2 linked regions of the Drosophila melanogaster genome follow. The protein of the gene in region 2 purifies or fractionates together with the protein of the main gene of each other region. This does not show direct contact. Each region holds a gene or a part of one and is shown on either strand. Other genes may lie near its edges. The genes, in order: alph and slpr.

Evidence for each region.
Region 1: the proteins of slpr (region 2) and alph purify together in Drosophila melanogaster (affinity purification with western blotting, with the first as the bait; one study listed by BioGRID). This does not show direct contact.

The regions. Positions count from the first base shown.
Region 1 is NT_033777.3:29,586,000-29,600,098, forward strand, and holds the start of alph (alphabet), read left to right. Parts: upstream 1-5,831; 5' UTR 5,832-6,168; intron 6,169-7,094; exon of another isoform or gene 7,095-7,272; 5' UTR 7,273-7,351; coding exon 7,352-8,164; intron 8,165-8,227; coding exon 8,228-8,345; intron 8,346-10,488; coding exon of another isoform or gene 10,489-10,556; exon of another isoform or gene 10,557-10,572; intron 10,573-11,241; coding exon 11,242-11,347; intron 11,348-11,419; coding exon 11,420-11,474; intron 11,475-11,776; coding exon of another isoform or gene 11,777-11,800; exon of another isoform or gene 11,801-11,909; intron 11,910-12,164; coding exon of another isoform or gene 12,165-12,179; exon of another isoform or gene 12,180-13,252; coding exon of another isoform or gene 13,253-13,802; intron 13,803-13,854; coding exon of another isoform or gene 13,855-14,099. Other genes in the region: CG7567 (uncharacterized protein), read right to left, coding at 1,334-1,567, 1,666-2,067; CG11470 (uncharacterized protein), read right to left, coding at 3,071-3,763; CG31041 (uncharacterized protein), read right to left, coding at 4,150-4,371, 4,509-4,883; CG7568 (uncharacterized protein), read right to left, coding at 13,298-13,802, 13,855-14,099.
Region 2 is NC_004354.4:8,166,125-8,182,895, forward strand, and holds slpr (slipper), read right to left. Parts: upstream 11,062-16,771; 5' UTR 10,429-11,061; intron 10,331-10,428; 5' UTR 10,170-10,330; coding exon 9,891-10,169; intron 9,831-9,890; coding exon 9,178-9,830; intron 9,112-9,177; coding exon 8,945-9,111; intron 8,875-8,944; coding exon 8,699-8,874; intron 8,444-8,698; coding exon 8,423-8,443; intron 8,091-8,422; coding exon 7,914-8,090; intron 7,852-7,913; coding exon 7,737-7,851; intron 7,338-7,736; coding exon 5,458-7,337; 3' UTR 4,555-5,457; downstream 1-4,554. Other genes in the region: CG2278 (uncharacterized protein), read right to left, coding at 1,830-2,770, 2,842-3,296, 3,366-3,772; sdt (stardust), read left to right, coding at 15,307-15,393. UniProt on the Drosophila melanogaster protein: Activates the JUN N-terminal pathway during dorsal closure.

The sequences.
Region 1 (14,099 bases), on a different chromosome or scaffold from region 2:
AGCTAGCTACCTGTGCCGATCCGTCGAGCAGATAGTGCCACATAAATAAGTGTGTCTGGCATAAATGTCAAAGGGCATTTAATGAAGTTATTAAACGCTGCGGCCCTAGAGACTACCGTTTCTCCCGAAGGGGGCGTACCGTTCTCTGCTCAGTTCAGTTCAGTTCAGCTCAGTTCTGTTCGGTTTCGGTTTTGGTGATCATAATCTCAGGACCGAGATCCCGATTCCGATCCCGATGCCGATCCCCGGGATCCCGAGTTTCCGACTGCTTTGCATGGCGACCAAAACTGGTTGGGCAATAAAACGCTTGCTATAACGAGCAACAAAATTTGTAACGATTCAATTTAAGGCTACATACAACATGAGCCGTACGCCGTCGGCAAAAGATGAAATAGTCGCAATAGTCGGCATAGGTACGAGTATATCCTAGCCCCCCCCCAAATGGTCCCCTCGCATCCCACCCCATTCTCGGTGGGTTTTTGGCGCATGTTGAGGAGTCGCAGTCCGACTTCAACTTGGACTCGGAGCGGCGGTTGAATTCAATGAAATTTATGAAGACATGACTGGCAATTGTAGTTGCAACGTTGCAACGTCGGCCTAAAACCAGCTCCGCTAAAGACCCAGAGTTCGACGATCCTTCAACGCCTACTTGGCCATTGCGATTACAACTCAATTGTCAATCGCAATTGATTTTCCAGCCAATATTTTACGATTAATTAAGCGCAAAATTTGAGAACAAAGTCGGGGTGTGTCGGCAGTCCAGACAAAAGAAATTGTAGGCGAATGCCTACAAGTACACGTTCTGCAGGTTGGGATAAGATGCGAACTGATTCCGTATACCTGCACCGCTACAGGTCACTCGGTGATTTCTTTTGCCTTTTGGGGTGTGGACAGAATGAAGTCAGAGGTCAGAGGATGGCTATGGAAAGCCACCATTGATAGATGTCCCGATATCGTCGAACATCTCCCGCCAACTGTGGGAAAACTGATGAAACGCAGTGGGACGACTGTCGTTAAATGCGGACATAAAAGAAATTAGCTGGATAGTTTCGGTTTCGGCACTGATATGATTCCAAATTCGGGTGGTCCGAGTCGGGTTTTGAAAAGAACTGTGTTCGAAATCATGAGATGCCAGCAAGTGCATTGCAATCCTATAACACTGATACAACCTTTGAAGTCACCTATCAATTTAACCTATTAATATAAATAATCTACAAATCGTATCCAACAAACTGATCACTTTTGTGTGTTTGTAAAGCATGAAAGCACACATTTTAATTTGGCATAATCATATTTCTTTTTGTTTAGTTTTTAGAATAAACCTTATCAGGTTTTAGGCGGTGGTATAATACCAATTTGCAGTGGTATCCTGCGGAACTGGAGCTCCAGCAAGGCATTTGTTGAGTTCTCCATAGTAGAGCGAGGTGCCCTCCACGAAATCCTTTTCGGAATAGTTCAAGCAGCTTTCCAACTGGCTGTCCAAAGTCTGCAAATGGATCTTGATCTGGACGGCGGCTTCGGTGGCATTCGCCGAGACTTGGTACATGATTTTTGATTGCTCAGCTCCCTACGAAAATTAAGCAGAATTAAAATTATATTTAACTACTGGAAACTATAGTTAGGTCGTATCGAAGCTGAAAGTTTCCTTGACTTTCTAGAACTTACGACGTTGGCGAAGCACTCGAAGGCGAGCACGAAGTCCACAATGGAGGAGCAGTCGAAGAAGGTGTTGCAGCCACGATCCCCGGAAGCCTGGATGCCGAAGAGAGTGCTGTTCCAGGCGGCGAGGACCAGTTCGCTGGCGGTGTCGTAGTCCTTAACGCACTTATTGTAGTCCAGTTCGTACTGGGCCGACAGCCCGTTGATGATGGGTATGTAGTAGTCGAAGCAGCGTACCGAAGTGCCAGGATCCCGAGCAGCCAGCTCTTCCGTTTGCTGCTGAAGGCCAAGGATCTTCTTGTTGGTGGGCAGCTTCAGCTTGGAAGGCTTTACCACGAGGCTAAGGCTGAGGCCAGAAACCAGGCCAAAAGCGAGAACCACGGCGAGCAGGGAGAATTTGGAAAACATGGCTAAAAGTCTCAGATTCCACTTCTTACTGAATACCTCGGTTGCAGAGCTCAGTGATTTTATACCCATTTCTCGAGCTTCTTATCTCTTTTGAAAGCAATTGCCTCTTGTTGGAGGAAATGTCGCATGTCGCTAATTTGTTGTTTCCGGTAATTGGTAAATATTTCTTAATTTAATCTCAAACAAAGTAAATTACATTTATCAGAAATCGTTTCCAATCGGTAGCAGTAACAAGGGTTCAATTTTTACTTCAAATTGAAAAAATGTTGTTCATGGACTTTTAAAAATATCTTTGCTTTTGGAGAAAAGTTCAATTTGTATCATAAACTGAAACCAGCGTAGACAATGTGCCGAAATATAAATTCAAATTTATCGTTTTTGAATTGCAAGCCAATTCAGTACCTAAAGTAACTAAAGAAGAGTTTATTTGTTATCAGATACCCGTTACTTAGCTGGATGGGCGTGGCAACGCCATGGAACAAACTTGTTCTGGAATCTGCGTTATGATTTCTATGATTTCTTATAGTAGAGATACGCTTATAAGGACAGACTGACAGACAGATGGGCGGACATGGTCAAATAGACTCGGTTAGGTGTTACATACTCTTCATGGAATCAAGTATGCCGCCTTACTCTACGACTAAGGGGTATAAAAACTGATGTATACGGATTAAAGCAGTTTTTGTTATAAGACGTGAAACTGTGAATTTTTTAGCATATTTTTTTAAATTTTTTTTTTTTAAATTAAATAATTCACCGACTGATGTTATGATTAAAATTAATATAGTTTTATTTTTCGTATGGCAGCTATTAACAATAGCTGATACAATAATCTTAGGTACTGTCATGCTTTCATAAATAAGTTGGTACCCTCTATATTTTATTCAATCCTGTCATCTATTAAACAACTAAGCTCCACAGTGAATAGCTTGCATTCCTATATTATTTATTTATATAAAACAGAGAATTCAATTGCCTGATATATTTATTGATTGACTTTCTTTTAACGAAGTAAAGGTGCTGCGGTTGTTATTGTTGTTGTTGTTGTTGTTGCTGTGGTTGTTGTAGGGTAAGTCAATGGATTACAAGTTGTGGTGGTTGGTCCGTTCTTGAGGCAGTTGTTCAAAAGCTCGTAGGTATCGGAGGTGTCTTCCACATAGGAGCGATTTGCGTCATTGATGCAAACACTCTTCCGGCTCTCTAGGATCGTATATTGCTCCTGGATCTGAACTGCAATCTGCGTGGCATTGGCCGAAATGGCATAGAAGGTCTTGGAGCTCTCGGCCGAGTTGGTGGAGGCGCATTCGAGGCGGGAGACCACGGTGTCCAGCGGCTGCTGCTCAAGAGTCCAGACCTGGCAATTGGAGTTGGGATACGAGCAGCCGATGTTGGCGGACCTGAGAAGGATCTGGCGATCCTCGGCATACTTCTCGCTGATATGGGATGTGCAATTGTCATAGGCCGAGATGCAAGCCGTAAAGTTAGTTTCGAACTGATCCGCAATTTTGGCCAATTTGGGCTTGTAGATCGAGAAGCACTGCGTGGAGTGATCTGAGTGGACTTCGGCCAGCTCCCTGCTCTGCAGCTGCAGCTCCTGGATGTGGGCGTCTGGTCTAAAGGGAATTTGCAGCTTCACAGCCAGCGAGAGGCCCAGGGAAAGGCAGAAGACCAAGATCTTGGCTTGCTTTGCGAACATCTTGGCCAGGTTAGTTGACGGTGGATGTGACACCCAGACGTATTTATACTCCCATTTATCATTATCTTTTTAATTACACATTAATGTTATATATTTTCAATTACTGATAATGATGGCTCTAAAGGTTTGATGGATGGCAATGTTAAACGAGAGTAGATAAGCTCATGTTTTACTGCCAAAAACCTTTAAGCTTTCTTGATACACTTTTGAAAAACACCTTCATATTGAGCTGATAATGAATAAGTCGTCCAATCCTTTAGCTAGTTTCAGAGGTATAGGATTTAATCGTTTAAACTTGATTAATATTCACTCAAAGTCTTTTATTTACAGCGATAAAAGTTCACGAATACAGGGTGCTCGAGGTGATCTGAATCTTGACTCGAGTCCTAGAGCACGTAGTTCGTGCTGGGAAACTCCCAGTTGGGATCACCCAGGCAGGCTACCATGTCGGCGTAGCACTCGCCGTGGTTGGTGTTGTAGGTCCGGTAGGCTTCGATTTGGCATCTGGATAGCGTTTCCGAGATTACGGACACCTCGGCGAGCAGGCTGGTTTGGTTGTCGGATGCGTTGTAGGAAGCTTTCTCCAGTTCCTTGGATGCCGAAGGACCCTGCGATTGGGTGGTGATATTATTAATGCTATTAAGCGCAAAAAGTTATACAAAATACGGCTTAAAACACTTTAAAATACTCATTAGAGTATGCGTGGAAGATCATAGATTAAGCCACCATTGTACGAATCACTCACCCCAGAGGCCAAGCACTCGAAGGCATCGGAGTTCGAGGTCCTGCCATTGCAGGTCAGGAGGGAAAGGCAGGTGTCCCTCACGGATACGGACAGCTCGTCGCGGGAACTGCGGTAGCTTGAGTCGATCAGGGAGAAGGCCCCGTCGTAATTGTCCTTGCACGCGGTGAAGTCCTCGTTGTACTTGTCCACGTGACCCTTAAGGAGCGGGCTGTAGTAGTCCACGCATTCGACGTTGAAGAGATCCGATCGCATGGCCGGAGAACTGAGCAGGAGCTCCACCAGCGAGGACTCCCTCTCGGTCTCGACGGGAGTGGGCACGGCAGCCACGAAGACGGCGCCGATAGCCAACAAAAGGGGGACGGCCTTGAACGACATATTCACTTTCGACACTTGGAGAACTGGACAACTGGAGTGTGGGGCCCAAAGACCCAGACTTGGCTTTTATACTGTAGTAATTCCAGCAACTAGATTACTAATATTTATGATCCACAAACTATCTGGGGTAGTTCCTGATGTAGACCCCGTTATCGTGACGCCTTGTGGAAGCTCTTCAAATAAAAGGTGTCAATGAAACCCCCAATATCAATTCAACAATATTCATTCCATCAAATAAACTAAATATATTTTACCCATTATAGGCAAAGAGCTACATATGTATATCTACTTTAGAAATTTAACACCATGGAAAATAATTTCGTGTTCTTGTTATACAATATATGTTTAGAGAAAGGTAGTAAATAAGAGACACTAGATTTCGCTGATATTTTTCTTTGAATAATTAATAGTTTTATTATTTAGCTCGTGTATACTAATAATGCATGGCTTATACACCAATTTTATATAAAACATATCAGGAATTCTGTTTATGGTAAATATAGATGCCTACGCAATTTTTATTTACGTCACCTCTAAAATAATTACATTTACTATCAGTTAAGAGGGTATTCACAAATTTTGTATTGCAATTTGTATTAATCACTTGCAGATTATAAAAGATAACACAATTCTAAGAATTCGTGCAGGAAGCACTTTTGGAGTATGGACACTCATAAATTAACGCATACTTAAACTGGCGGAAGCCACAAGAACTAAATGCAGTGGATTTGAACAACTAATTTTTTTGAGTGCACTGCCAGGACCTCGTTTAACACATCTGTTAACATCTGTTTCTACATAGAGTGATGGTGTCTCTTAACTGCATCGCACTTAACATCGCCAATAGGATGGTGTACTTGCTTAGGTGGGTTGCGTGTATTCGCTAGAAGAGTGCCTTCGGTTGCTATCGATAGCCAATAGCTCTTCGAATATCATCGATAAGTATCGCCCTCAGTACATCGATGCCCGATGCTTTTTTACATCACTAGTCACTTTGTTAATCAAAATATTAGAAAAAACTCCATTTCCGCCTCGAAAGTGCATTTCGGGATCGCGCAGAAGTGTTATTAAGTGCGCGACTCGTTCGTTGATCTTAAAAGCGCTAGTAGGCGATGAAAATCAAGTGGAAAACGATCGTTTTTTCTTCTTAAACTTTTACTTACGGCAGACACGCACACGCACGCAGCTCACCGACGCACTCGCACACACACAACCACTCGCACGCGGAGAGAAGAGCAGCAAGCGGAGGAAGAAGAAGCAGATCATCAAACTTAAAATTTGCGAGGTGAAAATAACGAGAGGCGAAGGTTTTCCCAGCACCGAAGATCATAAATCGCGAGTGCGTTTTCATTACCTCCCATTTTTTGGTGGCCATGCCGGATTTCCACCACCCCCCGCCCCTGCTGAAATCGGTGCTGCCAACTTGCTGGCCACTAAACAAATTTTTTTTTTGTGAATGGGATATGGATGCTGTTGCGCGCAATTTTCCCCACATTTTCCACAAAATGTATTTAACGCCCACTTTCGAGTGCTAAATTTAGTCGGCCAAGCGGAAGGACGAAGCCGCGTCCTTGATAAATCGATGTGTCAAAAGGAAATGCAAAAAAGCGCGGGACACAGAGGAAATAGCGGTGAAAAGCGTGGGCGGGCAGCTGCCGCGAGGTCTTCCGCCCCGCCCCCATTTGTGTTTGCGCTTTTTTCCATGTCCTTGCAGTCGGCTTACAGTTATTGTTCTGTGGCACAAGTGCAAAACTCAACAGGGGGAAGCCCCGCAAATGTACCCTGTACATATGTATGAGCATGTATATGTATATTAATTATGAAGCGCCAGCTGATTCCAGTTCGGAATTCACATGTTTTTGCCGGTTTATATATATGTAGTTAGTACCTTATATTTGGAGTCCTTCAGTCTCAACAGTTCAGGTTAAAACAGGTTAAAATAACACAAGTTATAGTAAAAGTATTCAAATCAATAGATAATACTTATTTTGGATTTTCTACCAGCATCCTACTGACGGTCAAGATGCGTTTACGACTCATACAGGTCGAGAATTAGAAAGAGTATAGCAAATAATTATTTCATGTTCAGCTGAAATCAAACTGCCATGAGTCAACTTAACTTCCGTAGAAATTTCTATGAAATGAAATGGTTTTACAAAAGCCGAGACTTGCACATCCGTTTGTGTCAGAAAAATCCAGATACCATTTACAGGAATATTCAGACACAGTATTCAGTTTATTATTTGTGTGTGGAAAACTATAAACTATCTATTTTGGCATGACCTTTGCTTAGTCATCCGCTGGTGAAAGTTCAAGTTCAAGGTCTTGCTGGTTGATATTGATTGGCAGTCGTTTAATGGTTGCATACCCTTGTGTCCTCGATCCGTAGATTCCTTGGCACCGGCTAGCCGTAAGAGGAGGAGAAATTGCACCCGCCCGGCACACAGCACACAGCATGTTCAGTGAACATGGGCGGATTCCTGGATAAGCCGAAAACCGCCAAGCACAATGACGAGGGTGAGGGCAACAAGCTGCTCTTCGGGGTCAGCTCGATGCAGGGATGGCGGTCGGAGATGGAGGACGCCTACTACGCTCGTGCCGGGCTGGGGGATGCCCTGCCGGACTGGAGCTTCTTTGCCGTGTTCGACGGGCATGCCGGATGCAAGGTGTCGGAGCACTGTGCCAAGCACCTTCTGGAGAGCATTATTAGCACCGAGGAATTCATTGGAGGCGACCACGTGAAGGGCATTCGCACCGGCTTCCTGCGCATCGACGAGGTTATGCGGGAACTGCCGGAATTCACCCGGGAGTCGGAGAAATGCGGCGGAACTACCGCCGTGTGCGCCTTTGTCGGCCTCACGCAAGTGTACATCGCCAATTGTGGTGATTCGAGGGCCGTCTTGTGCCGCCAGGGTGTTCCGGTGTTCGCCACGCAGGATCACAAACCCATTCTGCCGGAGGAGAAAGAGCGCATCTATAATGCGGGTGGCAGTGTTATGATAAAGCGCGTAAATGGTACCCTGGCAGTGTCGAGAGCCCTTGGGGATTACGACTTTAAGAACGTCAAGGAGAAGGGACAGTGCGAGCAGTTGGTATCGCCGGAACCGGAGATATTCTGTCAGAGCCGCCAGGATAGCGATGAGTTCCTGGTGCTCGCTTGCGATGGAATCTGGGATGTGATGTCCAACGAGGACGTGTGCAGCTTCATCCACTCGCGAATGCGGGTGACCAGTAACCTAGTGAGCATCGCCAACCAGGTCGTGGACACCTGCCTGCACAAGGTGAGTCTTGATTACCATGCATATCGTCAAAGTTTTCACATGCTGTTCATTTCTTGACTACAGGGTAGCCGCGACAACATGAGCATCATCATCATTGCCTTCCCCGGAGCTCCGAAGCCCACCGAGGAGGCGATAGAGGCTGAACATCGTCTGGAAAAGCAAATCGAGAAGATCACAAGAGGTTGTCTTAGTCGTCTACTCTGTTTATAACTAATCGTAAACTGTTGACCCATGGCGTAGTGGTCTCCTCCGTCTTCGCGTCTCTTTTGAACCGAAATACGTATATTTTGTACCTTGAGCGTCACGAGTACTTTATATGGGCTCCTCGATGGCCTACAGTCCCGACCCAAAGTGCTTCTAGAGCTGTATATGCCCCACTTTGTCCAAAACTAGAATCTTACAAAACAATTCCTTTCCGAAGTAGTTCCAAAACGAAAAACAATACCAAAACGAAAACCAAACCATTGCCATTACTAATGCCAAGAATGAACTCCTCGCACACCCACCTCAAGTACAGTGAAAGCTCTATTGGATGGATAATAATAGGCACTGATAATCTATATGTGTATTTCTAATACTTATTTGAAACCTTTCGAATTTACAAATTCATATCAACAGCAAAAAGGCTGAAGTCCGTTTTTTTTTTTTTACAAGAGTGCTATATAAATGTTGTATACTCTACATAATGTGGCTCATTTATGCTCATATTCTTAGTGCTTAGACATCACGTACATTTAGTTATATATTCCCTTAGAGAGCTTTCACCGATATTTGCCTGTATAAATATGTAAATGGGGTGTGTGTGGGCGTTCGACCAATATCCTATCACTAATGCATAGCAAATACCTGTATAGCGTGTTAGTTTGTCATATCTGGTGGCTGTGCGTGTGGCTGACCAGTGTTCGTCTGCCCCGTGTGTGAGCCTGAGTTATAGTATTATTTATACATGCCTGTGTGCACTACAGCCACTGCCAAAAGCGTTCCATGTATGCGAAATCCAGCCCATTTAGCTTTAGTCGTACATATACACCTAAATAATAACAATTATCGACGAACCTGCCCGAGCTAAGTAGTTAAATGACCCGTCAACCAATTTGTATATACATTTACTTGCATATACGTATACCCCATTTGATACTAGGCGCGATGTGAATCAATCAAACGAAATTGCAATACTTAACGTACGCAGGTATTGACACTCAAAACAAACACTTGGAATTGATGTATCTAAGTAGGAGTAGCGAATTAAATCTTAATTTCTAAGCAAAATCAAATAGGAGAGTATAATGTCTTCAGAGAAGATTAGTTGTAGATAGAAATGTAAATAAGCTGAATAGCTGACAAAAACTTTGAGAAGCAATGAAAACATATATTTTATTAACTAGCAACCGCTCAGATGAACTGTAGTCGTATTACTTGAATTACGTATTTAAAGCAATGAATAACCCTTGGTGGTGTTTATCCGAGACTTCAGTATTCGAGGCACCAAAGTGAAACTCGGCCAAAAACCCGCAGGCCGACCTTGTTGATATAGACAATTACTTTAGACCGAATTCGTACGATTTACAATTAGCCAGTTAGTGAATAGACTTAGAGCATGCATTGCCCACCACTGGTCACAGTAGCTAACCCATTTAGAAATTATTTAGGCTAAGCAATAAACCAATGTCCAGTGTCCAGACGAATTACTTAGCCTAGAGTAGAGTAGCCAAAGGAGTTGAAATGTTATAGAATGTATACGTAGGTTAACGAAACCGAATTGTAAACCTTATGCTCACCAACTGTTGTGCTTGTTGTTAACCGAAGGCAAACGATTACTCCACCCAAATCGATCAGACATATTCCATTCAATCTAAGCAACTTCCCCGAAATATTTGTACTTGGGTGCCCTGGTAAATTGGTGATCCAGTTAAAAGTGTAAAACACACACATCCCACACAGCCGAACATACACGACTTTTAGAGATTAATGAACTACCATTGATGATAGTCAAAAATATAACTTAACGAAAGATTTAAAAACCTAAGCCAAAGTGTTTGTCTGCTGTTCTATTGGAATCATTTCGGCTTTCATTTGCTTATTTCCATTTTCTCTATTCACACTTTTGTTTCTTTGCTTTATTTTTATTATGTTCATTTCGAAAGCTAAACATTCCTTAGCTCCACCTGATTTCGTGAGAGCAGGTTTCAACTAATGCCTAACGTTTATCTAAAGTAATTTGGCAAAAGGAAAATTTTAGCCATTCGCTGTTGTTGTTTTCCGGTTGTTGATCGCGCCTCGTACTACAATTCCCAATTTCCAATACACTATTGCCACCAAATCAGAGCGCGAATTAGCCGAATGGGCCAATTGTCAATGCAAGAACAAGAAACAGAAAGCAATTCAAATTTAAGATGAGTGAGCATAAGGTACGTCTATACTTTTGTAGTTTGTAACTTTTCGAAGCCACTTTGTCATTACGTTATCGTTTATCTTATCGGTTAAATGGTTTGATTTTGTTTTGCCTACACCCACCCAGACCCGCCTCCAATAATTTCTTATCTGTGTGTTAATTGTAAAAAGTGATCCACACAATCCAGCAGATAATCGAGAATGCATGTATCCCATAGCCACAATGGAAAATTGAATTGAACAAAAACCGTTCTATGCAATCCTTTTGCTAAGAAATCCTGTATTTGAAGTTTTCAGTTTGCTATGATCAGATCAATTGGATTGTCTTAAATGTACCTAAGGCTTTTTTGCATTTTATTTCACAAAAAAATTTTGCTGATACCATCAATGCGAGATTGCCAAGACTTCAAAACATGTTAATGACTGCGCTTTTCTATAGCAATCAAGTAAATTCCCTTGTTTCCAATCGCTTGAGAGGCCAACACATACCCGTTTTTTGATATTTTGTATGACAGCATTCGTATCTATATATTGCATTTACTTAAAGTAGCTTAACTGTGTAATTCATATTTCTTTATGGACCATTTATGTACATAAATATTTATTTATAAACGCCATTCGAGCTAACGCAGTGTTTGCTAAACCGCACATTACTAATGATCGACTTCTCTCTGATTTTGTTGCAGACGAGATAGAGTCTAGCAAGATAACCGACTACGTGGATCTGCTGAAGTGTCTGCAGAACAGAGACGACATCGAAGGTCTTCCACCCGGAGGAGGTCTACAGTCCAAGTGAGTGTTTCATGCCCGTAAATAGCGTCCGGCGATTGCTAATCAGTGGTGTTTTTTTGTTTACCTTTGCAGATATCACGTTATCGAGCGCACATTCAAGCAAGAGTTTCCGGATCGACCATGTGAAGTACGAAATCTGTTCTATAATCTGTAACTCAGTTCGCTGCGCTTTCGCCAATGCTAACACATATATTTTATCGCTTGCATAGCACCGTTTTTGGCCATTATAGCCGTAGCCTTTGAAATTGCCTTGTTTTTTTCTGATTCAATCAGTAGATCGACACCAGAGGATTTGGTAATGATAGAGCTATCACAGCAGTTCATTCGATCGTCACCATTCACCATTGTTCCATGTTTAGTTGGGTTCCCCTCTCGGCCCTTAATCGTAACCTCTAATCATGGCTGCCTATTCTCTTTCTTTTTTTCTAGCTGTATGCATATGATGATATATGAATTTTGTAATGCTAATTGTTCATTTTTAAACCAACCAACCAACCAACCAACAACCAACCAGCAAGAGAACAAAGATAACTAAACACCCTATGCTTCACATACTCTAAATGTAAGCAGATAATTCATTATGTTGCTCGTCTAGCCCCAACATCATCATCATCGACCCCCTTCCATTCTGTTTCGCTATGTTTTGTTTCCTTTGTTGCAAGACTTGGAAGGACCGCATGTCTGTCACTGCATGTCTCATCCATATCAACCCACTTTCGTTTCCGCTTCCGCCGCAAGTGTGCATCCTGCCTGAAAATGTCCTAACCCATCGGCTGCCCATCACGGTCAATAATCCAGATATTTGTTATTCTTGCAGAGTCCAACGCATTAGGTTGCAGTCGAAACACGAAACAGAACCAGTTAAACAAATGCAGAAACCAGATCAGATCAGAACCGAACAGAACAGAAAGCAGAGCCACACAACTTGAACGAAGCAAAAACATACAAGAACACACACCAAACAGTTTTCTACTTTGATAAACACAAAAGAAAAACCTACTAATAATGATAATAATAAGAGTAACGATACATTTATAGTTTGTACGAAGCAGTCCTAAACACAACAATACGAACAGCCACGCCCACACAACTTTAAGATATAGGAGAGATCTAGAACAGAGCGTACCTGAGCAGACCTCAGAGACTCGGAATCGGACGAAATCAAAGGATGGCTAAAAGCCAGCACCAGGACCACACCGAACAGATTACTCCGATCGGATCCCTCTGAAGGACCCATCCATCTATGTGAACGTTGTAAACCCTCTGTGTGTCCTTTCGTTCCGTCACTTCTCCTCATCAATCAGCTATCAGCAGTAGGAAAAGCGCCAGGAAAAACTAATGGAAAATGTGGTATCAAATGTTATTGAGAACGGAGGACAGTTAAGAAACCGCGAGAGTCTCGCTCAAATTTTTTGTGTAAAAGAACTTTATATTTTCATTAAAACAAAAACCATGTATTAACTATTGATTCCGAACCGAAAGCGGACCTTTGTAAGTTGTAAAACGTTTGTTATCTAAAACACCTTTTGTTCACCTTCTTTATATGTGTACGAGAAGATGTGTCGCCAAGCCAGAAGCAGCGAAACTTAATAATGTAAAGTAAAAAAATGTTAAAAGAAAACCAGAAAAAAAAATGGTAAAAGGAAACCAAACTAGCAAACAAAACCTGTAACTATCTATGTACGGAAACGAAAAAGTAATACCTAAACCTTAAGTAAGAGAAGCAAAACAAAAGAAATCCACAATAATGTCCGATCTTAAAGAAACGAGAATGAAAACTAAGAACTATTAATTTATAAGAAACGAGTTGATGAAGAAAATCTTAAGAGAGAAAAGCAAAATTACGCTCGAGTTTGTAGTAAATGTTGATAAAAAAAAAACACACACACACTCCGAAGCTTTTAATCAGTCAATGGAACCATCGTTCAGCTGCACAGTGTACCAGTCGTATCATCTCCAGAACCGACAGCTGTTATCCTTGGAGGCGGTCAGGATGGCGTCTCCTGCGTAGCTGTAGGCGCAGCTGAACACCTCACCCTCATGACCAGCCAGCACTTGGGAGCACTGTCCGGATTCCGTGAGCCACAGGCGAGCCGTGTTGTCCGCTGAAGCTGTGAGCAGCATGCAGCCACTGGGACTGAAGCACACCTTGGACACCTCATCCGAGTGTCCTGCCATTAGGGAGAGCATCTCCAACTCCGAGGATCCTTCTAGCCTCCAGACCCTGGCCGTGCAGTCGCTGCTGCAGGTGGCCAAAAGTTGGCCGGCTGCATCGAAGCTGACATCGAGCACCTCATCACTGTGCCTGGCAGCCAGATAAAGTTCCTGGTCCAGCTTTCGAGTGTCCCAGATCCGCGCGGTGTTGTCCAGGGAGCCAGTAGCAATCAGAGATCCGCTAAAATTCCAAACGCAGTTGGATAACTCAGCGCTATGGCCTCGCAACTGATGCCCTAGACTGCAAGGGGAACTTCGAATAGTGATCTTTCAGAACTCAGATCTCAACCCACCTCTTGCTCCTCACATCCCAAATAGCTGCTGAATGATCGAATGAGCCGGTGAGCAGCATCTGACCATCGCGATTAAAGCGGGCGGCAATCACTTCGGCTCCGTGATGGGTCAGTTGCTGAAGCTCATGAGACGTTTCCACGTCGTAGATCCTGGCTGATCCGTCCAGGGAAGCAGTGGCAATGGATTTCCCATCCACCGGATGAAACTCAGCGGCCACCAGTTCTGCGGTGTGTCCATAGAAGGT
Region 2 (16,771 bases):
TAATGCAGGCAAATGCAATTAAGCTAGTGGGTAAATGTAAAGGTTAACTGGTTTCATTCTTCTTCTGTTTTTTTTTTTTTTTTTTTTTTTTTTTGGGCAGATATTTGTGGCTATATTGCTTGGTTTTGTGGTTCAATCGGTTCCTATTTTTGGTTAACTTCGGCTTTGTGTGTGAGCATAAACAACAATTTGTCTAAATTATAGTTATTAATTTATGCGCATATGCATATGAGGAGGCCTCTATTGCCTGCCACCAGCTCCAAGAAAATGTAGCCCAGAGTTTCGGGGTTTTGGTCGCGTGGCAAACGAGTCGAGTAACGAAATCTTCAATTTGATTCAGCTCCTCGAAAGTCGAAGGTAGCTATTTTGTGCATCCTGCGTTCGGGATGTTCTGGAAATATCTTAAGATATATGTATATACACGGTATTATCTCAATTGGTAAACTTGAGGAATATCTCGAGATATTTCCAATAGAAAAAAAAAAACCACTTTGCAAACAAACATGATTATATAATAAGTATCTGTGTACGTGGCATACATACATACATATATGCAAAGGTAGTTCAAATTCATTGCCATTATATCAATATCATAGCTATTCAGTATTTGGAAAAAACAGCAGCAATATGCTTCTTTATGTATATGCATGTATATACTCGTATATATCCATTATATGTAATTGTAAATCGATCGAGTTAAACTGGTATTCAATTCAGAGCTAGTGATTTTGTGGGTTAACGCGTCTATATCGGTCTATATCTAGTTGTCTATAACTATATATATATATATATATATGAATATATAAACATTTTTTTCAGACTTAAAAATGGAGCTTACGGCTGGCGTGTGTCTTGATCGGGATGCGGTGTCCTCGGAATTAATTGTTTGTTATCTATTATTGTTGTTGATGATGGCTTGCTAGCTAGCTGGCTGCACTTAATCTGAATCAAAAATCGGAGAACGCAAGTGGAGGCCTTCGTCACTATACATAGGTATACCTAGGTGTATAATACATAAATGGGAGTATATATCAGCCATATCCGTGCCATCCGTTGATGGGGCGGCTAATCTTATACGAGGGATTTGGGATTCGTTTGGATGTGTGATATACATATATTTGGTTTTGGAATCCGTCATTAGGCAAAACTAGTGAAGTCTTCACTCTACTTTTAAGGCAAATCGCACAAGTCGGGGGCTGCACAAGTCTATGGGTCTATGGGTGTGTATGTCTGAATCCTCGGGCACATTTTTCGATCGGGAGTATCTTTGTGTGAATCTCCTGAAGATTTCCTTCCCTGCCTATAGGTTGGCTAACATTAACATCGAAGTTGATATATGTACTTGGGTGTAAACAACTTGGGTAGCTACTTTTATGTACAGACAGTGGGTATCAAATTCTGCAAGAACCTATAGTATCTGGAATCTTAGCCACAAGGATATTTCGTAGTATTCCCCATCTCAACTACTGTCATCCGTTTGATATAGATATATATATATGTATGTATCTAGTTCTTCCTGAAAACCATTTGATTTATCTGCGCTTTGATATTGCATTTCTCTTCCAATTGCTTTCTGTGAACTTGAGTTATCGCCTCCCAGATCTTCCAGCTGCTATGGCTAACCCTCTCTTTTTCGCTTGCCTGGATGTGCCTGTCCTGCTCTTTCACAAGCGGTACTCATAGTGCGCCGATCGAGATCGCCGAGCTCCCGAGTACCAGCGATATGGTACTCGCTGCTGATGCAGCGCCAAGTCAGCGGCTCCTCCGCCGGTCCCAATGTCCGCGCCCGGACTCCGCGCCAACTGCAAGGTTAGCGCCAGACGCGACTGCTAGGAGGATGAGGCCGATGGCGACGGAGTGCTGCCACTGGACGCCTGTCGCTGGCGTCTCTGCTGTTGTTGTTGTTGCTGCTGCTGCTGTTGGTGTGGCAGCTGCATCGCCGGTGCCGTCATCCGACGTCCCAAGGCGGGCAGCGGATTGGCATCCAGATAGGCCTCCGGACTGAAACGCACCCGACTGTGCTGGGAGCCAATGGAACCCTCTTTGGCACTCAAGTAGGAGCTGTCATCGCTGGTCAACGAGTCCGGCGGCGTGGGATTAGTGGGTGTGCCCTGCTGCGAGGATGTTGACCCATTGCCACCATTCCCACTATTGTACTTCTTTAGCGAGCTGCGCAGCTTTGACTGGCCGGCCAGTGGTGGTGGTAGTGCAGCAACCACCGAACCCGCTCCGGATTGTTGATAGCCCAGCGAGAGCGCATGCTGCTCGAAGGGCAGACTGGCTGGTCGCGTCACCGCCGCCGTGGCATATTTGCTCTTGGTCATCGGCAACGGACTGTGGATGAGGCGGTTCAGTAGCTTGGGTGATCCTGCATACAGTTCCTGCTTTGTCGGCGGCGGCACCTGGTCAAGCTCTCGTTCCCGCTCGCATTCCCTCTCGTACTCCGCATTCAGATTGAGATTGTTGTAGTCATAGCACAGCAGCTCTTCGTGCTCCAGCAGTACATTCGAATTGTTCGAAACGGTTGAGGGAGTGCGTCGGTGTCCGGCCGCACTTACGCCCATCTGTGGCACCCGCGGTGGTGGTGTACGGGTCTGGCTCACCGGACAGGGAACGGTCACGGGCAGCGGCACCACTGGTGGCGCCTCATACTGGTAGTCATAGTAGTCCGGCAGGCGATGGTTATAGTCGTAGGAATAGTCCGGATACGATTTACAGTCACGCTCGTAGCTGTAGTTCAACTCCGGCCGGTATGGAAAGTAATTGGAACCTATCAACGGGCAATTAGTATATTTTAAATTGGAGGATTCTCCTCGAATGTCTAATGGCTTGCCCACTCACCGAAGTAACCATTTCGGTAGTTTCCCCCATCGTTGGAGTAACTGGGTCCGTTTCTCAGGTAATCGGCTGGCGCATAAAGTGGCGGTGGACCAATGCCACCGCCCACACGAAACTCCTCGAAGACATCCGCTTGAGGATTGGCATTGCCAAAGCTGCTGTTGCTCAGCTTACGCCGTGGCGATGGCGTCGGTGGCTGGGTTCCGGCATACAGTGCACTCACCACGGCTGGCGGCTGTGATGGCGCTACTGTTGTCACCACGGCCGATGGAACTGGCTGTGGCTGGTGAGGATGATGATGATGGTGCTGCTGCTGTTGCTGTTGCTGCTGGTGGTGATGGTGCAACTGATGCTGTGGTGTCCGCTGCACAGGTGTGTAGTACGGCTGACTGCCTCCGATGCGCCGGGCCAGAGATGTGGGCTGCGATTTGCTGACCGGAGCTTCAATGCCACCAAATCTGGGGGGCAGGAATAGAGTATATAGTGTATAAAGAATTCGCGCTCTTTCGGATTCATTTAGCACTTACCTTGCTTGTGTGACTATCTTACGTGGCGTGCTTTCCCTGAGCTCCTGCTGCTTCAGTGGCACATTTACTTCCAGTTCCAGGATCTGTTCCGGCAGTGAATCCTCCACCACCTCTTCCGTTCCGGTAATCGCTGCCTTTGGTGCCGCCTTCAGAGCTGGCACTTCGCTGAGCAAAGTCGGATGCACTGGCGACACGTTCGACATGCGAACATCATATCCGGCCGCCACTCCGGCCAGCAGGGATGCCATGTTGTACAGCAACAGTTCGATCACGGAAAGCTTCGGCTTGCGCGCCGAATCGCCGGCATAGAGTGTCGGCAGTGGCACGTTGCTGGTGAAGCGGCTGAGGAGATATGGCGATGGCGACATAATCGGCATGTTGGTGGCACCCGGACGCCAGTTATCCATCTTGCTATTGCCCTGGTAGCCTGGTCGGTCCGATCGGCAGCATTCCAAGGCGGATATGAGACATGATTGAGTTACGGCATATGGTTGGTACTGGCTTGGGGGAACGATGGCTGGGATATGGTCGGTAGTCGGGTGGTAATCGGATAGTCGGAGGCGGGGGGTACAAGAGTAGTTGGATAGTAACCGCAGGCAACACCAAAGTTTAACCACCGCATACCAAGGAGACTCTGTTCGTCCTATATTAATAGGTTAATCTCTCTCTCTCTCTCTCTGTCCAAAATTGTGGATTGTGCTCATGCACAGAGAAAATCCATTCTTCATTCAGTCATTTTCACGTTAAATTGACATTAAAAGATAGCTTCACTTTAAATAAGTTTAAGTAATTTAAATGTTAGTTTGGATCATTGGACTTTCTCTGTGCTTTTTAGCTGCGAGGCAATCAAAACTGGTCGGCAGATTGTCTTAAGTTGGTTTTATTGTCGGATTTCTGTTTCTGGGTATTGGTTCTTCTTTTTTTTTTGTTTGTTTTTTTTTTTGGGGTTGGCTTGGCCCCAACATGGAAAATACAATAATATACAAAGTACATTGAAATAGAATCGAGCACTAAACGTAGAATGAACAAATCGTAAAATGAAGTATAAATATACAATTGAAAGTTTTCATAAAAATAATACAAAAAAATGATCATTTCCTTTTCGTTTCATCATCGTTTTTTGATCACAGGTTTTTTTTTCTTTCTTTCTTTTGCGCGATTATTCTTGTGCTTTTTTTTTTTTTTTTTTGTAGAAATAAATCATAAATAAATAAAATGGAAAACCCGATTGCATAATAAATGTATGTAAATAAAACTGTGCTCAAAATACCAAAAAAGTCGAATATCAAATTAAAATTAATGTGCACCGCAACTTTTCGTTAAGTGTACTTAAGCCAAACGAAATGCCGCAAGCGATGGAAATTTTGGAAAATATCTCTTACAAAGATTGAGGGGGTGAAAAAAAAGGAGGAAGGACTCCAAAAAAATGTTCGAGTTCCTACAAAACTAGAACTTAGTTCAACTAAGATGTGTGTAATGTGTAATGTGTAAGGACGCACTTACGCATCGGTATAAATATAGCTTAATGTTAATCCAATTGTTACACATTTATGTATATGGTTTAGTTCAATATATTTTGCCATTGGCCCATGCACACGTTTTTTCTCTCCGTGTCTGTTTGTCTACGTACAAGCGGCGTTAGTCTATCTATCCGTTTGATCCTCAAAAGTTCGTCCTCACTTCTGTGCTACACATTGCAATTTTCTAGCCACTCCTCTGGCACAAAAAAAAAAACAAAACAAATCACTGGACTAATTAGGGATTAACTTGATTTGTGAATTTCGCACAACATATTGCATTCGTTAGGAACAATTCGGTTATTATGAAATGCCAACCGCGGACAGAGGGGTTTTTTGTTTAGTTCTATGATTTCGTTAGACGGAAAGAATTCGGATAGGTATCTGTATCTCTGGGCCCTACTAATTTCACACATTAGCTATGGCTAATCCTCGCCTGCTGTTTCATCTCTTCGCTCTTCCTTTGCGTCTGACTTAGTCTACAGTTTTAATATAAAACAATGAGCTAATTAGGCGGTTCTCATCTGGCGGCCAACTCCAACAGCAACACTGCAGCACGGCGCACAACTGGGACTTTAGCATCGCTCCAGTTGCTCGCAGGATTGCGTCTGCGGCTTTTTGCCTTTGCGCTTCAAAGAGCGACTGCTGCCCCCCATCGCCAAATCGGTTTGATAGGGATCAATGGCACAGAACTCGGGTCCACCGACCATGTTGTGCTCCGCCAGCTTGCTGTACTTCTTTCGCGAGCGCGTAAAGAGATTGAAAAGGGCACGGATTTTGCTCGATCCAGCCGAGTGATGCTGGTGCTGGGGATCATTGTGGTCATCATGTTCATGGTGCTGTCCCTCGACTGGCGCCTCAACAGACTTGGATTTGGTTATGTGCTTGGGCCGTTGCTTCTTTTGGTTCTTGGTCTGCTGGCGCTGTTCCTGGGCCCGCAGCTTAATGACATCGGGATGCGGCTGAACATCTTGCATCCGACGCGTATTCAGTATGGAGTTCTCCTGCATGTGATAGCCGTTCACGGCTTCCGTAGAAGCAATGGACGGTGAGGCGGACGCAGTGGTGGACGATGAGGACAGCGATGGCGAGGCGGAGCGGTAGGTGGCGAAGCTAATTGAGGCACTGGATGTATATAGATCCGATCTGGCAGTCGTTCGCGGCGTGGCCACAAAATCGGGCTCTTCGAAACTGACGCTCTGGAAGGTCACTGAACTCTTGCGCGACGTGGTGGAGTTCTGGCGCATCTGACTGGCGGGCACTTGACACTCATCGTCGGCATCCGCATCTGCTGTGTCCACCTCCGCCGCCACCGCGTCCTCATCCTCTGCTTCCCCTTCCTCCTCCTGCCTGGTGAAGAAGCAGTGCCGTGGAAACTGCGAGCCGGAAAAGTTACGCTGAAAGCGTCCACCCTCGAAGGCCTCCTCCGCATCATCGCAATCCCTGGCAGTCAGCGGTGTGCTGGAGTTGTACATGGTCAGGTCGCCACTGGATTTGGAGTTTACCCTTTCGCTGCTGGCCATGGACATCTTTTTGATCACATCCCGATAGAAGGCATGGTCATACGTATTGTTATCCTCCGATGGCAGAGTTAACTGGTTGGGCAGTGCAAAGCTATTGCTACCGTTCGCAGGCGGATGATGACTGCTGCTGTCCAGCGAATGCTTCTTTCTGCCCACAGCTGGACTGTTGCCCAGACTGCCGCCAAAGCGATGCAGATGCACGGCACCACTGGCCGCCGATGAATTGCCGGACTTCAGGAAGTGAAAGCAACCGGTCGGACTGGCAACGGTGTCCGTTTCCGAGCTGTCATCCGTTACCAAATAGAGTGGTGGTGGCTGATAAGCAAGCGGATGATCAAGTCCGTACTCCTGGCTCCTGGCGCGATGGTAGATCTTGGCTGGGGATTGACTGGTGGTGCTGCTGTTGGAGTTGTTCCGGCCGTTTTGGAGGACAATTATCGTGTTCGGTTGGGAGGTCAGGTTAGTTTGATTGTTATTGTTATTGCTATTAATAGTACTAATATTATTTAGCTGATTGTTGTTGTTGGCGGAGATGCTGTTGTTGTTGTTGTTGTTGTTGTTGGTGGTTGTGGTGGTGGTAGTTGTGATGGTGGTGGTGATGGCTTTACAATTGCCAATGTTGTTGTTGTTGGGGCGCGTTAGTATAATGGGTATACCTGGGTACAACAATGGTGTGGCCGGCGTCCCACCAGCGCCTCCACTTCCACCCAAAATTCCCAAACCCGGCGGCGGTGTCAGCGAGGCCACCTGTTGCTGGTTCTGCTGCTGCTGCTTCTTGTCCAGATTCGGAGCACTCTTGCTGAATGAGGAGTGAGTTGAGGTCTGGGCGGGCCATTCCGGCTGACCGCCGCTCAGTTGCGAAGGCAATAGGGATCGCTCCCGCTGGTGCATCGTCGACGGGCCCCACGTCTTGCCCTTGTGCCCATCGGTCACTGATTCACCCCAATGTCATCAAAATAATACGGAACATAAGAACATAACGAAGAAACCAAAGGCAAATCAATAAAATATACAAAAATTAATTCAAAAATAATGATAACAAAAATATGCAAATAATCTAGTTCAATTTGTCCAACGATACGAGGTGGTATCTTACATTCCCATGGCCATGACGTCTAGTCTCCTGTTCTAATTTTGGGTCTACTTAATGCCTAATCTTATCTCAAAGACCTGCATAATGCACTGAATTCTCATCAGAGACATACGTACATAGAGTTAAGTCTAACAAATATACCATAAAACCATGATTGAAAAGTATAATTCATCATAGGACTGTACTATATATAATACCCTCAAATTAATCAGATCTCTGGGATAGACAAAGTACTCACGTGCCACGATGCGCAATCCGGAGAAGGAAGGTGATCCCGGCTGTTCCGCCTTGTCGCGTACAGCCGTAATCGTGTGCCGGAAGCCCGTGGGCAGCGATATCTGCAGTGGTTTGTTCTAAAAGATAGATATAAGATATGTTATGCAAGATTTTTTTTTGGCTAATTTGACTCACATACCTTTTTGCCCTTTTTGTGTTTGCGTTTCGATGGCACCGGCTGCAACATGACAAGCTCCCGTTCGATCAACACTCTTTCACGCTCGCGCAGATTCTGCTCCCGGATCTTCAGGAGATTCGCCTTTTCGCGCTGCTCGTTTTGCACCCTGAGCAGCTGCTCTTCCTTGTTGCGCAGTTCCTGTCGGGATTAAAAGGGATAACATGGTGGAACGTGGCGGGTTAGTGTGGGCTAAGCATGATCACTGTACACGGGGACATGTGCTAGAAAATAGCATTAACTAGGAACTAGAAACCATGCAGCTGTTGGCTTGTGTGCGGCTCTATCGTGGGAGTTATCCAGCCAATAATAAAAAAAAAACAGGATAACTTTGGGTAAAATAGAATAGAGTAAAGTAATGTAGAATAGAGTAAAGTAATGTAACGAAACGAAACGAAACAACAGAACGAAACGCAACGCAACGCAATTGAAACGCAAACGGCGGGCAAGAGAAACCTGTTGGACGCGCTTACCTCTTCGATGGTTTGGAAACGCTTAACGTCGTTGGATGTTTTATTGTAAAACAAGGGAATTTTGTATTGTTTTGTTTTGGAGAGAGAGTATATACCAAATTATTAGAATTTCATCAACAACGACCAAGTGGGAGAAAGAGGGGAACGACTATGGAAGAACTGAAGGGCGCGGCGTAAGGCCAACAAGGAACGGTCTAGAAACGATCTAGAGCAACTCAAACAGGTAGGGGGAGTTTATATTTTCAGTTTGCCTGGCGTTTTCCAGACAGTTGGTACCTTTTCTTTTTCGCGCAAATCGTGTAGCACTCCAGCGATCTCCTTTCGCCAGCATTCCTGCATGTAGTGAAACGACTCCTGGGGCGTTAGGGTGAATTTGGAGCATGCGATGCTCTCCAGCTGTTTGAGAATCTCCTTGAAGCCCGGTCGCTTGTGCGGATCCGTTTGCCAGCAGCCTGCGGGATTTGGACATAATGAAATATTACAATAATATGTATAGGATCATTGTCTATTGCGTTCACTTACTCTTCATCAGGGCTCCCCACGTCTCGGGGCAGGTTTTTGGTATGGGCAATGTCAGCGTGTTAACAGCCACGCCATAGGCCACGGACAACGGATCGAAGCCCTTGTAGGGCGTCTCGCCCGTTATCAGTTCCCACAGCAAGACACCGTAGCTCCAAACATCGGAGAATCTGGCGGGTAAGGAGTTTTGTTAGTTAGGAAGACAGACGACAGAGTGTGAGAGAAATGGAGCTCACTTGGAATAGGTGCTAACGCTGATGACCTCCGGTGGCATCCAAGCGTACGTGCCCGCCGCACTCATCCTCTGCGTGTTGTACATCTCCCTGGCCAAACCGAAATCCGTGATCTTGAGCGTCTTCTGCTGCAGATGATTGCCCTCGATGGCCTCGTAGATCAGCACATTGGAGGACTTGAGGTCGCGATGTATGATCGACATGGGCGCCTCATTGTGCAGATAGTTCATGCCTCTGGCTATCTGAATGGCCCAGTTGACTAGTACATCGGGTGGTATCTTGCCAGCCAGTATGCGATTGAGACTTCCTCCCCTGGCATACTCCATCACCAGACAGAGTTTGGTATTCAGACATACTCCTCGCAGGGCTGCTATATTTTCGTGCTTGAGGGCCCAAAACAGTTTGGCCTCCTGCAGGACATTGTCCCGCATCCTCTGCATATCATCCTCGCCCGTTTGATGGGCAATCTTAATAGCCACCTCCTCGCCATCGTAGTAGCCACGATGGACCTTGCAGAAGCCACCGGAGCCGATAACTTCCTTGATGTCCAGCTCATTGTATTCGATCTCATGCGGCTGGATGTCGCCAATGGCGGACGAGACATTCAGTTGCAGTGGGTCCTCATCGGTGACAAAGTCCTTGGGAAAGACACCGACCTGCAGGAGAAAGATTGGGGTTTAGTTCAATGGTTCATTGTTAGAAAGGTAATCAATCACCTTATCTCCAATCTTGCCGGTCCACCAGCCCACATCGCCAGACACCTCGCTGTCCGTGGACAGGACCACAACGATTTCGCCGCGTCGCAGTGTCAGCTCATCCTCGCCCTGGGCATCGTAGTCATACAGCGCGGTCCACAGGCTGCCATCGCCCACCTGGGTCTCGACTTGCTCTAGATCTGGTATGGGAATCTCTGGTATCTGCGGATGATGCAGTTGCTCTAACTGCTGCTGCTGCTGCTGCTGTTGCAGCTGCTGCTCCTCGCTGATCGGCAGCATGTTGGTGGTGTCCAATCCTCGGGAGACCTGCGAGGGCATCAGAGGCGCACAGTTGGCGACATGGAAACCATGAATCTCTTCTTTGTTTTTGTTTTCTGCTTCTTTTCCTTTTTTGTTGTTTTCTCTTTGCTTCCTTCGCTTTTTAACTTGCTTTTGTTTCGCTGTGTGTGAAAGAGAGATAAAACCGCAAAAGGGGCGAAGAAGAAGCAGCAGCTTAGTAATATTTGTTGCCAAAGGGGGTGGGGTGGGGTCAGCTTACGGGTAAGGATGTTGCGGCTAATCCTGCTCTCCTGCCCACCGGATTCGGATTCTCCACTCTCCTTGTGTCCCACTGTCCGTCCGTCTGTCCGTCCGTTGACCACACGCACAAGAGCAAAAACAATAGCAACAGCGAGAACAACAATCACAACAACAACGGCACACAATCAGACAACACGGTACAAAACACACACACACGCACACGCGCTGCTGCACACCATGGTCGCTCTCTCGCAGTCGCAGTCGCCGTTAACGTCGTCGGTTATTTTGATCTATCCTTGATCCTGTGCAATCGGTTATATCCGTTTTATTAGCCCGTTTCTGCATATGTTTTTTAAACACATATGTATTAAAAAAAAAAAACTAGAGTTGCACTGTTCAAATGTGAACTAGTTTAATTGAACTGGTCTTTGGACCCAGCCGAGTGAACTGGTTACATTTGCGGTTCACCTGGGATTTTGGTTCCAGTTCGTTGGCATAATTTTAACTAAAATTGTGATCAAGGTAGTTGTTTAAATACCTTTATATTGGTAATTGTTAATATTTGTGGTAGAACAAGGTTTTGTCGATCATTTTGTTGTGGCTCACATAAACCAGTTGCTGCATTTATACTAGTTCCATTCGCAAATGTACTAAAAAATGCCATCAAAACGGTGTTGGGCAACGCAAAATATTTGGTATTTCAAAATACCTTATTCAGTATTTTCAATATTGGTATTTATCATGTCGATTATTTTATTGACCGTTAATATTCAAATTTGAAATGTGCTTGAAATGTAAAAATTTTAGTATTTAAATCCTATTAACATACATGCAAAACTCAAAAGCATTGTTGATGTGTAAATTTAAATTAACTGAATTTAAAGTACCGTAAACCAGAACGATTGCATTAATTGAACTTCTTCAGTTTTTAACAACTTAACAACTTAATATTTAATCGAATAAATAATTGAACTTAGTCGTTATCAATGCAAACTGAAAATTATGCTACCATCAATGGGGCTATTGTAACACTTGCATTCATTTAAAACTATTAAAGATTGAATATATCGAATGTCATGCACTTCGATTAAATCACATAATGTGAAATAATTATTTAAAATCACGTTTCAAATGGAATGTCGCTGTCATATGTTTTCCGTTTTGATATTCGGCTATTTCGTGATGCGCATGATTTTTGCAGAGAAGTCGGGGAAATCCATGGAAAAGGGGGGCTTACAGCTGCTGCTGCTGCTGCTGCTGCTTTGGCCGCTTTGGCTGTTTGGCCTGTTTTGCCGATGCGGATATGGCCTGATGATGTTGCTGTTGCATCGCGGAACGGAACGCTGTGTATACTGTGTATCCTCACTACCAACACCACCAACCCCCCACCCACGCCACTGACTCTCTCGTCGGGCGCCCAACACGCGCCCTTGTGTGGGTGGTGGGTGGTGTGTATTGGGTCGGTGGTGGGTGTTAGTGGCTTGTGGATGCTGGGTGGCCTAGTCCATGCCATGTGTTTAGTAAGTCCCCTCCCTCTGCTACGCTCCCTTGAAAAGTTCGGCGGCGCTCGTGTCCTTTCGGCTGCGACGCTGCGCCGTTCATCCTTTTGGTCCAGCGTCGGCATCGCACAGTGGAATGGAATGCTAATCAATCGCTCAAAAACCATAAAAATATGACATTTTAAAGAGTTAAGCCGATAATTTAAAACAATAATTAACTAATTGGTTGTAATTTAGTGTATTTTATGCATCTCAACATCTTTATACACATGTTTATGATATTTCAAGGTTTTATTGCTAAAAAATGTACAAGCAGCGAGTGCTAGAAACATAGCGTAGATAATTTTCTTCACATTTATGTTGCACAAATATTGTAATATTATTAACCAATTTTGAACATCTAATTATGGTCCGATTGGGCCCACTGTGCTTCGGCAACAGAGCGACTCGTGCCGAGCCGATGGAAACCGAAACGAAACCGGGCTGCTGGCTGATGTGGCGCTACATCCGCAACTCCCGTAGTCGTAGTGACAGCCTTTGCCGGATCCGGAGCCAGGAGCAGAGCGGCGCAGGACACTACGGCCCAGGACCAGGACCTGTACCGCTGGGCAAACGCCACTCGCTTCGCCCGGAGAGGAGAGCAGTCTCGGCAGTGGTCGGCGAGGCTGTGTGCCAGCATCACCAGCAGCAGCAGCGGCAGCGGCAGCGGCAGCAGCAGAAGTGGCAGCAGCAACGGCGGCAGCACCAGGCTGTGCCACTCAGTTACGCGCAACATTTCAACGCAACGTCGTGGCAATTCCAAATCGGCGGCAGACGCGGGCGTGCGCAGCGCACGGGCGGATTGCACGTAATAAATCCTCCGGAACGGGCTAAAAATACGGCAAACGCAACTAATCACACACAATAGAAACCGAAAAGAGAGCTAACTCTTCGCTAAGAAAATCGTAAATTTTGCGTAGCGTCTTGCATGCGCCATCTTGCACGAAATCCCACGAATAATGTAGCAGAAACCGGAAACCGGACTGAAAATATACATAAATAATAAACTTTACGCACCAACTAATTTGAACACAAAATATAACCAAAAAATACAAAAAATTGCTCATATTTTTTTTCCGCCGCGTGCGCGTTTTTCAGTGTGTGTGTGTGTGTGTGCGTATGCGTGCGTGTGTGTGCGTGCGTATGTGTGGGTGTGATTTCGCGCGCGTGTGTGTGTCGCTATTTTCTTGTTGTTTTTTTTTTGGGTAACTTTTTTTTGCCGTTCTTTAATCCCTGGCTGAAATGAAATACAACAAAATAATGATCGAAATGCGAGAAGCCAAGGCGAAAATGTAAAACGGGCAATGATGCAAACGCACATGAGTAAAAAAGAGTAAATAAAAAATTAAAAGAAAAAATATATATATACATATATTTATAGAAATTATCAAGTTAATTTTAAGGAAAACGAAACGCACAACAAAAAAGCCAAAATAGATCCAGTAATAAAACTAATTTAAAATAATCACCTAAGTCAACAAACTGCAGTTTCAGCAGCGCAAAACCGAGGTAAACTATTGGTTAATTAAAACGATTAAACATATGCTATTAACTTTAGGGCAGGGAAAACATTGTTAAGCATTAAGGAACAAATAACTGATAGAAGCAAAACCAAAACAGAAAAATAGAAGATATCAGCGAAAATCGTTCGCTTGCAGGCTGTTATCACTATGAAAATGTAAAACTGTTAGTCTAAAATTAGTTTGGCTCAAATCTCGCTGACTGACAGCTTACTTAATCTATTATTTAATTTCTTTACCGTCTCTCAATAGTTTCCTTGACACTATTTTCGCTTTTGCCAAAAGAAAAATCGGGGGAAAATCGGATGGCTGCCTTCACTCACACAAACCCACACAGACACACATTTTTACACAAAGGCAAACACATACATACACGCACACATATAGACATAAATCCATGTAAAGCTGTTGCCTCTGCCGCTGGTAGCCGCGACGCCGACTGCGACGCCGGCAGCGTGGTAAGCAGCGCGCAAGAAGTTGAGGTTATGTCTGCGCCGCAAAATGTGCTTGTGCTTGGGATCCAAAAAAACGCTGCGAAAGTGGCGAAAAACCGGGTGGATGGCCATCGGGTGGTTGGTGGCAAGTGGGCGTCGTTTGGTAATGGTAATGGGGTGCTACGAGCCATGCCCTTGGCATGGAAACGCTGTCGCCCCTTTTTTTTCGATGGGCGTGACTGCAGCATCCAAAGGATATTCGGCATCGCCTTTGTCCTTGTCCATGCAAAGCATTCATTGTACTATACTTTGCACACTCGAAAATGCGGATGCTTTACATATTTACCATTGCTGGCAAACTGTTTTAGTGGCTAAAGTCGCGAAAATCACTCGAAATTAGCTGTCAAGCGTTTAAAACTTGAAAGAGAGCTGTCCATAAGTATGCTATGATTTTTCTTGTGGCCTGATATCAGTGCCATTTGTTAGTCTTACACTTGCTTTTGTTTGGTTTCAAGAAAACATAGTTCTTTTTCAAGGTGTACACATATTATTTTTCATATTTAACTCATTATTTAAAAAAAAAAAACCTTGACTTTTAGGCAGCCCCTTGAGCACTTAAAACACTTAAGACTATTTAAATTAATGACATTTTTCTCTGTGCATTTATTTTTTCTTTTTTGTGTTGCATGAGTGGTAACACGATGTGGATGACCTAGCCCTATTTTTGGCCATTTCAGAGTCAACTGCCAGCGCTGCTGCTGCGCTGCGGCTGCGCGGCGACTGCGCTGCTGGCAGAGCTTCTTTCCTTTTTTTCTGTTGATTTTTCCTCGCTCCGCGGAAGAGACAGAACTTTATTCCAGACAAACTCAAGAGATAGAGAGAGAGAGAGAGTAAATGAACAATCGAGCAAACAAAAGAGCAGCCAGCGTGTTAAATTTAAGCTAAAAACATTAACTAGATTTAACTTTATGTCAGAGATCTAAGAAGTAGTATTTCCATTCCATTTCCATTCCTTTCAGAACACCAAGTCTTACTAAGGAACTATTCGACTAAGAGCGTTAACCAAATCAAGCTGTTGTATTTAGCTGCAATCCAAAGACGTAATGCTTTCGATCTGATGACATTCGACTACGGGCGCCATGAGCATCAGTGCCACCTGGTTTTGGGTGCCATCTCTGTCTCCACTTCCGAATACGAATCCGAATCCGAATCCGAGTCCACATCCACATCAGAATCTGATCTCCTTCTCCGCCACCCATTGTCAGGCGCAGCCAACAGGTGAGACTTTGATGCCAATTGGAGTTCGTCTTGGAGCTTAGACAGCTGAACTCGTGGAGCAACAGGAAGAGCAACCGGATAAGGGGGAACAGGAGCCCCCGCTGAAGTGGCGCCTCTGCCTTGCGCGATGCAAGCGAACAGCAGCCGCTCCAACTTAAGCGCACAATCCTCGGGCACGCCGTCGGCCTCAACGATCTCCTCGTCCCAGGGCAAGGTGGGTTCAATCGAATTAACTATACTCTTACCATAAGTATTCATTTTAAAGAATCAAAAGAAGCCTGCAGAAATTCAAAAATGCCCCAAGACTGAAGTTCTGAAGTCCATAACTCAACTTATATCGATCGCATTTCAAAGTGGCATACCTCAAAATGTTTGTGGTTGAATTCTCTAAAAATCTGCATTCAAAATTGGAAATTTATTTTTTCAAAATTTTTTTGTCATTTTTATGATGTCGGAAATTCGAAAAACTTGAAAAATGCCCCAAGACTGAAGTTCTGAAGTCCATAACTCAACTTTTATCGATCGCATTTCAAAGTGGCATACCTCAAAATGATTGTGATTGAATTCTCTAAAAATCTGCATTCAAAATTGGAAATTTATTTTTTCAAAATTTTTTTGTCATTTTTATGATGTCGGAAATTCGAAAAAGTTGAAAAATGCCCCAAGACTGAAGTTCTGAAGTCCATAACTCAACTTTTATCGATCGCATTTCAAAGTGGCATACCTCAAAATGATTGTGATTGAATTCTCTAAAAATCTGCATTCAAAATTGGAAATTTATTTTTTCAAAATTTTTTTGTCATTTTTATGATGTCGGAAATTCGAAAAAAATCAAAAATGCCCCAAGACTGAAGTTCTGAAGTCCATAACTCAACTTATATCGATCGCATTTCAAAGTGGCATACCTCAAAATGTTTGTGGTTGAATTCTCTAAAAATCTGCATTCAAAATTGGAAATTTATTTTTTCAAAATTTTTTTGTCATTTTTATGATGTCGGAAATTCGAAAAACTTGAAAAATGCCCCAAGACTGAAGTTCTGAAGTCCATAACTCAACTTATATCGATCGCATTTCAAAGTGGCATACCTCAAAATGTTTGTGATTGAATTCTCTAAAAATCTGCGTTCAAATTTGGAAATTTATTTTTTCAAAATTTTTTTGTCATTTTTATGATGTCGGAAATTCGAAAAAATCAAAAATGCCCCAAGACTGAAGTTCTGAAGTCCATAACTCAACTTATATCGATCGCATTTCAAAGTGGCATACCTCAAAATGTTTGTGATTGAATTCTCTAAAAATCTGCGTTCAAATTTGGAAATTTATTTTTTCAAAATTTTTTTGTCATTTTTATGATGTCGGAAATTCGAAAAAGTTGAAAAATGCCCCAAGACTGAAGTTCTGAAGTCCATAACTCAACTTATATCGATCGCATTTCAAAGTGGCATACCTCAAAATGTTTGTGATTGAATTCTCTAAAAATCTGCGTTCAAATTTGGAAATTTATTTTTTCAAAATTTTTTTGTCATTTTTATGATGTCGGAAATTCGAAAAAATCAAAAATGCCCCAAGACTGAAGTTCTGAAGTCCATAAC